2 linked regions of the Rattus norvegicus genome follow. The protein of the gene in region 1 interacts with the protein of each later gene in a pairwise test. Links are inferred from orthologs where the notes say so. Each region holds a gene or a part of one and is shown in the gene's direction. Other genes may lie near its edges. The genes, in order: Arhgef2 and Rpp25l.

Region 1 (3,914 bases):
CTGCCTCTACCTCCTGAATGTTGGGATTAAAGGGGTGCACCACCACCGCCACCGCCACTTAAAGACATGACACCTGGGGCTGGAGAGATAGCTCAGCGGTTAAGAACACTGGCTGCTCTTCCAGAACTTCAATTCCCAGCACCCACATGGCAGCTCGCAGCCTTATAATGTCTGTTCTAGGGTTTCCAACACCCTCATACATACGCTGAGGCAAAACATCAGTACACATGAATTTTTTTTTTTTTTTTTTGGTTCTTTTTTTCGGAGCTGGGGACCCAACCCAGGGCCTTGCGCTTCCTAGGCAAGTGCTCTACCACTGAGCTAAATCCCCAACCCCCCCTTTTTTTTTGGTTCTTTTTTTCGGAGCTGGGGACCAAACCCAGGGCCTTGCGCTTCCTAGGCAAGCGCTCTACCACTGAGCTAAATCCCCAACCCCCAGTACACATAAAATTTAAAAGAAAGAAAGAAAGAATCAGGCTGTCTCTAGAGTACCCAGGTTCAAGTCCCAGAACCCACATAAGTTCCAAGAGACCTGGCATCCTCTCACACACATAAAGGCAGGGAAAACACCAGTGCTCATAAAGTAAAAATGAATGAATCTTTAAAAGAAAATAAGAACGGTCCCCAGCTCCGAAAAAAAGAACCAAAAAAAAAAAAAAAAGAAAGAAAGAAAATAAGAAAAAAGGAATGACACCCCAGGTTGACGATGAAACTGCCCTATAGTAAGGAGCTCTGTTGCTAAGGAGGCACTTTGTTATAAATTGTTACTAAGTCTCCATCCCTTACAAGAGTAAGTTTGTTTCTTAAATCTAATGTACCTGGACACTATTTTTCAAGCTATGCTGAACTTTTAACTCTATGATGCTATCCTACCCCCTTAGGAAATATACTCTTGCACTTAAGCTACTGGCAGGCAGGCAGGCAGCCAGCCTTGAGTCCTGAATCTCCTCTGTCCAGATGCTCACACCAATCTAAACAGTTGTTTTCTATCAACCCAAACCCTTTCCCATAAATAAGACCTCAGAAGGCAATGAGGGGCTGCTCTCTGAAACCCTGACTTAGCAGGGGCAGTCATCTGGCCAGACCCTGGGCACTTCGAAATATAGCTTGCTTTCTTTAATCAGACAGTTGTGGGAATGTTTTTTCTCAGGTCTAACCTGAGACTCTGACTTCTTTATACACGAGTGCACACACATAGACAAGAAGTACTAGTTAAACTGAAAAGAAACTTAAGGCTAAGTTTAGTTGCAGAGGCCTGTGCAAATCTCCGGCACTTCAAATAAACAAATATTTCTATTAGTCTATGTGGCATATTATGGGTACTTGGAGTTCTTGTGTATGAAGGCCAACTGGAGGAGCAACTGAGCCCAGCAGATGTGGAGTGTTTAAGGATATCAAGTGGGTGGTGGATCTCCTGAGAGGGAGTCATTGGTGAACCCCAAGAGACAATGCATGTTGGGACCCAAAAGGCTCACCCGTGCCTGCACACTGCTCATCCCCTGAGCTTGTGCTTTTCTTCCCATAGCCTAGTCGAGGCCATGACCGCCTGGATTTGCCTGTGACTGTTCGTTCCCTCCACCGACCCTTTGATGACCGAGAGGCACAAGAACTTGGTAGCCCCGAGGATCGACTGCAGGACAGCAGTGACCCTGATACTTGCAGTGAGGAGGAAGTCAGTAGCCGGCTGTCCCCACCCCACAGTCCACGAGGTGAGACCCAAGAGTGGTTGTGGGGTCTGGGTCCAAGCCCTTGGGACTGTGACTTCTGAATGTACGCTAAGTGACACCTTGAGGGTTGGTAATGCTGGGAGAGACAGGGACGGTTTCCCTGTTCTGTGAGAAGACAAACTGGTGGTGAAATCCTTGAGAAGGAAGCAGTGCTTTTCCATTGGTTGGTGACCCCCAACCTTTGGAAGTAGTAGGAATCCATTTTTTTGTTGTTGTTGTTGTTGTTGTTGTTGTTGTTGTTCTTTTTTTTGGAGCTGGGGACCGAACCCAGGACCTTGCGCTTCCTAGGTTAGCGCTCTACCACTGAGCTAAATCCCCAGCCCGGAATCCATTTTTTTTAAAGATTTATTTATTTATTACGTATAAGTATGCTGTAGCTGTCCTCAGACACAGCAGAAGAGATCAAATCCCATTACAGGTGGTTGTGAACCACCATGTGGTTACTGGGATTTGAACTCAGGACTCTGGAAGAGCAGTTAGTGCTCATAACCCCTGATGCGTTTTAAAGACTTCCTCTTCCCCCTTATCAAGGAATCAAATACCTCTTAGAGTTTCCTGTTATAAAGGTGACTTTGCTGCCGGAGGGTCATCCAGCCCCACCCTGGGAGTCTTTGTGTAAGTCTGCACTGCTCCTCTTGGGAGCTCCTGCCTGCTCACTCATTACCCTACCCTGTCTGTCACCTTACAGACTTCACCCGAATGCAGGACATTCCCGAAGAGACAGAAAGCCGAGATGGGGAGCCTACGGCCTCAGAGAGCTAAGGGGACGCTTCCCCCTGCCTGGTGCCCCCCACTGAAGAACATTAGTAAAGGGGCAAACCTTGAAAGGACTGCCGATTGTCCTTGCCAGTTCCCAAGACCCCTGGATACCTAGGGGCCATGGGGATGGGGACTTAGAGGCCACCGCACCCCTGGTGTTCTCCAACAGTCACACCACAGATGCCGATTTTACATGCCTTCTCCCCCTCCTTAGGAAAAATTATTTATTTATTGTTTATTGGTTGGGGGGGTGATTTAAAGGGCCAGAGACATGGGAACCAAGCCATAGGTATCAGAGGGCCTCTCCTTTAATACCACTGGGATATGTTTGGCCTTAGCCACACAACCTAACATCAACCCCAGTGACACCCATCTGTGGCCATAGAACCTACTGCCCCTTTCAGAAGGGCTGTGGGTAGGACCATGTCCCTTTTCCCACTCCCCTTAGCCTCTTTCTGCTGTTCTTTCTCTCCATCCTCCATGGATTTCTGGCTCCTTGGAGTTGATGGAGCAGGTAGCCATAATGTATTGGGGTGGGGAAGGAAGAATACAGGGACCAGAATGTTTTGTTTTTGGTTTTGTTTTCTTATTTTTTTTTTTTTTGTACCAAAGCCAACCGCACCTGTTTTATATTTTTAAAAGAAGATTGTAGGCACTTCTAGCTCCATGTCTTTGAACTTGAGGAATTAGGGAGACAGTGACCTATTTCATCGAAGGTCAGGGGGCTCCCATTCAGAACTCTTCCTCAGCCATTTAGAGCCATTCCTCTTCCTCAGAGGAAGCTCTGAGGTGGGTTGGGAAACCTCTAGGAACCCTCACCTCGTCTCCCACGGTGGCAAGCAAGAATTGGGGGAGGGGGATTTTTTTTTCACTGCAACCCTAATGTCCACCAGCGATAGCCATTTTTCTGCCAATTGAATTGTTAAACAGAAAAAACACAGTAACAACGAAGCAAAGAAAGAAAAAGCTCTGGCAGGGAAAAAATTAAAGACCTGACACGCATGAGGTGCTGTCTCAGTGCCCGTTCTGAGGACTGCCGTGCCTGCAGCAAGGCAGTGACCACGGTTTCTGAAAAGGGGCTGTCACTACCTCACAGAAGAGGGCATGAATGGATGCAGCTGCTCAAACTCTTATTAAACATCTCAAAATTGCAAGGCTGGAAATGAAGCGCCGTTCAGCCTCCAGCGGCTGGCTGTTAATGATACAGACATTAGAACACTAATTTGCATCTTATTTGTGTGCTGTGCTCACAGGGCACATCTGGCTCTAACCACCCCTCTCGGTTCCCCTCCCTGCCCCCCATTTTCATTCCCACCCTGTGAGCCCAGGGCCTCGTTCACGGAGTAGCAGCCTGTACACTCTGTCACTTGGAATGGTAGTAATTGGTTTCAGTTCTTGGTTTTGGCTCGTTCCACTTCCTGTTTCTAG
Region 2 (3,256 bases), on another chromosome or scaffold:
GAGACCACTAAAGCAATGTGTTGGCTTGCTGATACAGGATGGGCTTGGCTGTGAGGATCTGGGTGGTGAAGAGGAGAGCTGCCAACCCCATGGGATGGGACCAGGAGCTATACCCCTGATCTGGTTTGCTGAGAGATAGAGTTCTCTCATCATTTGACTATACAGCGGGGCATTGTATATTTATTTATCTTATATTTGCCAACTACCCTCTAAATATCACATCCTATGGTAAGTAAGGAGGGCATAGGCAGGGACAGCTAATCTCTACACAGGGTTTGGGGAAGACCAGGTAGGCCTGCATGTCAGGTGGTCCTGGAGGAGCAGGAATGGACGTTCAGAGCCAAGGCTGCACTGCCTTGTGTCTACATAATACCAGTAGCCAGAGGAGGAGCCCAAGATGTAAGAAATTTTAGGATCTTGAGAGGAGGAAAATCAGGGTACATTGATGAGAAAACAGGGAGAAACAGTACCGCGCTCCACCCGGTGTATGCTGCCCTCTTGTGGTCTGAGGGAGTGCCTTAGCTCCTTCAACTGCCTGTAGAGTTGCTTCAGCCCAACCTGTAGAGTTGCTGGCATCCAAAATGCAGCGTATCCAAACGGATCTGAAACTGGCAGTCATCCTAAACTATTCTACCCGAATAGTCACCCGCGCGTCCCCAAAACTTCATACAAGTTTCTATCAAGTTTCTACCACCTCTTCTCAATTCTTGCTGTTTCGGTGGTTAACACCTCATTGGACAAATATCGGAGGGCCTATTTTTACCCTGGATACTGGACTAGGCTCTGTGCGCACGCCCCCGTGGCCGAAGCGCTATGATGATGTTGAGTACAGCCCCTTCCCAGGGTCACCAGTATCTGTTGCCCCCACTACCGGATCCGCCATGCTTATAAACCAATCCTCCGTGGCCAATGAGTTATGCACAAGCTATGGCTTAGACCTTACTGAAAACCGCCGGGGTTGATCAGTGTCCCAGGATGAGAACAAAGCTCAGAACTCCGTAACTAAGGGTCTTGCCTGCTTGTACCCACCACGGACGTCGCCTTCGCTGCTGTGCCATCCATCCTTTAAAGGCACAAATCTGCATTCTTCAGGACTCCTCCGATAGCTGTTGCTCTCTCAGGTGGGCCTTCTGCAGGTGCCGGTGTGTACCGCGGACCACTGCGCTGACGCTCGAGGCCGCCCAGGTGACAGCATCAGCTCCTCTGAGTCGAACAGCAACCCGGGTTTCCCTCAGGTCCCGCCCCCTGCGTGCGCGGCCCCGCGGCTCCGCGCGCTCTCGGTCTGCACGCCATCTTGGCTACCCGGTGAGGGTTGAGCGTCTTCTGGCAACGGTGGTAAGAGCCAAATCCCAGGGAGTGGGGACTCAGAGTTAGGGAAAGGGGGATACCTGCTGCCTGGGACAGCGGCCCACGATCGGGGAGTCCGCCAACCGCTCACGAGTGGCCCGAGCAGCTCTCCGGGGAGTCCTCACCCGCGAGTTCCCGAGTGGCCCGGTTCAAGCTAGCCTACTCAGTTAATCTGGGAGTGAGGTCTTCTCTGCCCCCCACACACCGTAGGTGAGACCGATCCTTTCTTTGGGGAGTACTTTGTGAGGGTTCATGGCTGTGCCCCAGGGTCCTTGAAGCCCAGTGAGGAGAACCTGCCTGTTCTTAGAGAGTTGTGGGCCTGGGGTCTGGGACCTAGCCCCGGAGAGCTTGAGATGATGAAGCACAACCCTACCCCAGAGAGCCTAGTTTTTGGGAATTTGTTTTTGTCAATGTTAGAGACTCGTGGATGTATTTAGAAAGGGGTAGATAATTCTCGGCCCCAGCCTTGAAGTGCTGGGGTGAGGGTGTAAAAGCACTCTCCGTGGTGAGGAACAGGACCACATTCTGGAGGGAGTGATGGAGGATGGTCCATGTGATCATGTTCCTGCCACTCATCTGACTCTTTCCCGCAGTGTATATCCAGAGAGTCACCAAAGGCTCGAAAGCAGAATGGAGCACTACCGGAGGGCTGGCTCTGTAGAGCTCCCAGCCTCATCACCAATGCCCCAGCTACCTCCCGACACGCTGGAAATGCGGGTCCGAGATGGGAGCAAAATCCGAAACCTACTAGGGCTGGCACTGGCTCGTTTGGAAGGAGGAAGCACAAGGCACGTGGTGTTCTCAGGCTCCGGCCGGGCCGCTGGAAAGGCCGTCAGCTGTGCAGAGATTGTCAAACGGCGGGTTCCGGGCCTACACCAGCTCACCAAGCTTCGCTTCCTGCAAACTGAGGACAGCTGGGTCCCAACTTCACCGGACACGGGCCTGGACCCCCTCACAGTCCGACGCCATGTGCCTGCAGTGTGGGTACTGCTTAGTCGGGACCCCTTGGACCCCAGTGAATGTGGCTACCAACCCCCAGGTGCACCTCCTGGCCTGGGCTCCATACCTAGTTCCAGCTGTGGTCCCAGACCCCGAAGGAGGGCTCGGGACACCCGGTCCTGACGATCTGCTGGACCTGACTGTACTCTAGACCTGAGTATCTGTGCCTTCTCTAAGAAGTGCTTGTGATTGCTCACCATGCCAGCAGAGTCCACAGAAGAACTTCCCCTCCTCTCTGGAATGAGGGGTGGAACTGTTAAAAGCACTGGTGTGAGCGCAAGGCCCTGGGTTCGGTCCCCAGCTCCGAAAAAAAGAACCAAAAAAAAAAAAAAAAAAAAAAAAGCACTGGTGTGGGTCCGGTCAGTGCTGAGTTAAAGACTGCGTGAGGAGAGCTTACTCTGCCTCTATAGTATGTCTGACTTGCCTTTTCTGACTAGGGAAGGGAAATAAAGGTTGTGCCGCTTTGTTTGGCCTGCGTGTGAGTGGGGCTTGGCTTTATCCCAGGAGCTCCTAGGCTGGAAGCAGGAAGGATACAGAGAGACTGGCAGTGGATGACGGATCTGGTCTCGATGAAAGTTCTAGCAGTAGTAACCTGGATGGCTTCTTGCCGCCTGCTTTAAGCTGGGTTGGGACTCAGCCAGTTGTCCCATCTGTGGCATGCGTATGTTTTAGTGTAGTGGGATCATGAACTCAGCCTTGGCGGTTCAGGGTTTTGATCCTGGTTCTCCTACTCCCAAGTTACTGCTCTGTGGTTTTGGATAAAAGTTCCTTCTCTGGGTCTTAGCGCTCTCATCCAAAAAGTGGGGGGGTGAGGTGCTTACCTCGTTAGAGCTGTGAAGCTTAGAACGAGGTGCACACATCTGCCATTCAGCCTCCACCTGAGCACCCGGTGCTACACAAAAGGAAGCTC

What was found.
Region 2: the proteins of Arhgef2 (region 1) and Rpp25l interact in binary tests that used the Homo sapiens proteins (3 or more experiments, as listed by UniProt). The two-hybrid records come from large-scale screens. The link is inferred for Rattus norvegicus from reciprocal best matches to the Homo sapiens genes ARHGEF2 and RPP25L.

Annotation. Positions count from the first base shown.
Region 1 is NC_086020.1:176,412,539-176,416,452, forward strand, and holds the end of Arhgef2 (rho guanine nucleotide exchange factor 2), read left to right. Parts: intron 1-1,525; coding exon 1,526-1,709; intron 1,710-2,415; coding exon 2,416-2,489; 3' UTR 2,490-3,636; downstream 3,637-3,914. UniProt on the Homo sapiens protein: Activates Rho-GTPases by promoting the exchange of GDP for GTP.
Region 2 is NC_086023.1:61,673,853-61,677,108, reverse strand, and holds Rpp25l (ribonuclease P protein subunit p25-like protein), read left to right. Parts: upstream 1-1,287; 5' UTR 1,288-1,335; exon of another isoform or gene 1,336-1,557; intron 1,558-1,940; 5' UTR 1,941-1,977; coding exon 1,978-2,469; 3' UTR 2,470-2,688; downstream 2,689-3,256. UniProt on the Homo sapiens protein: May be a component of ribonuclease P or MRP.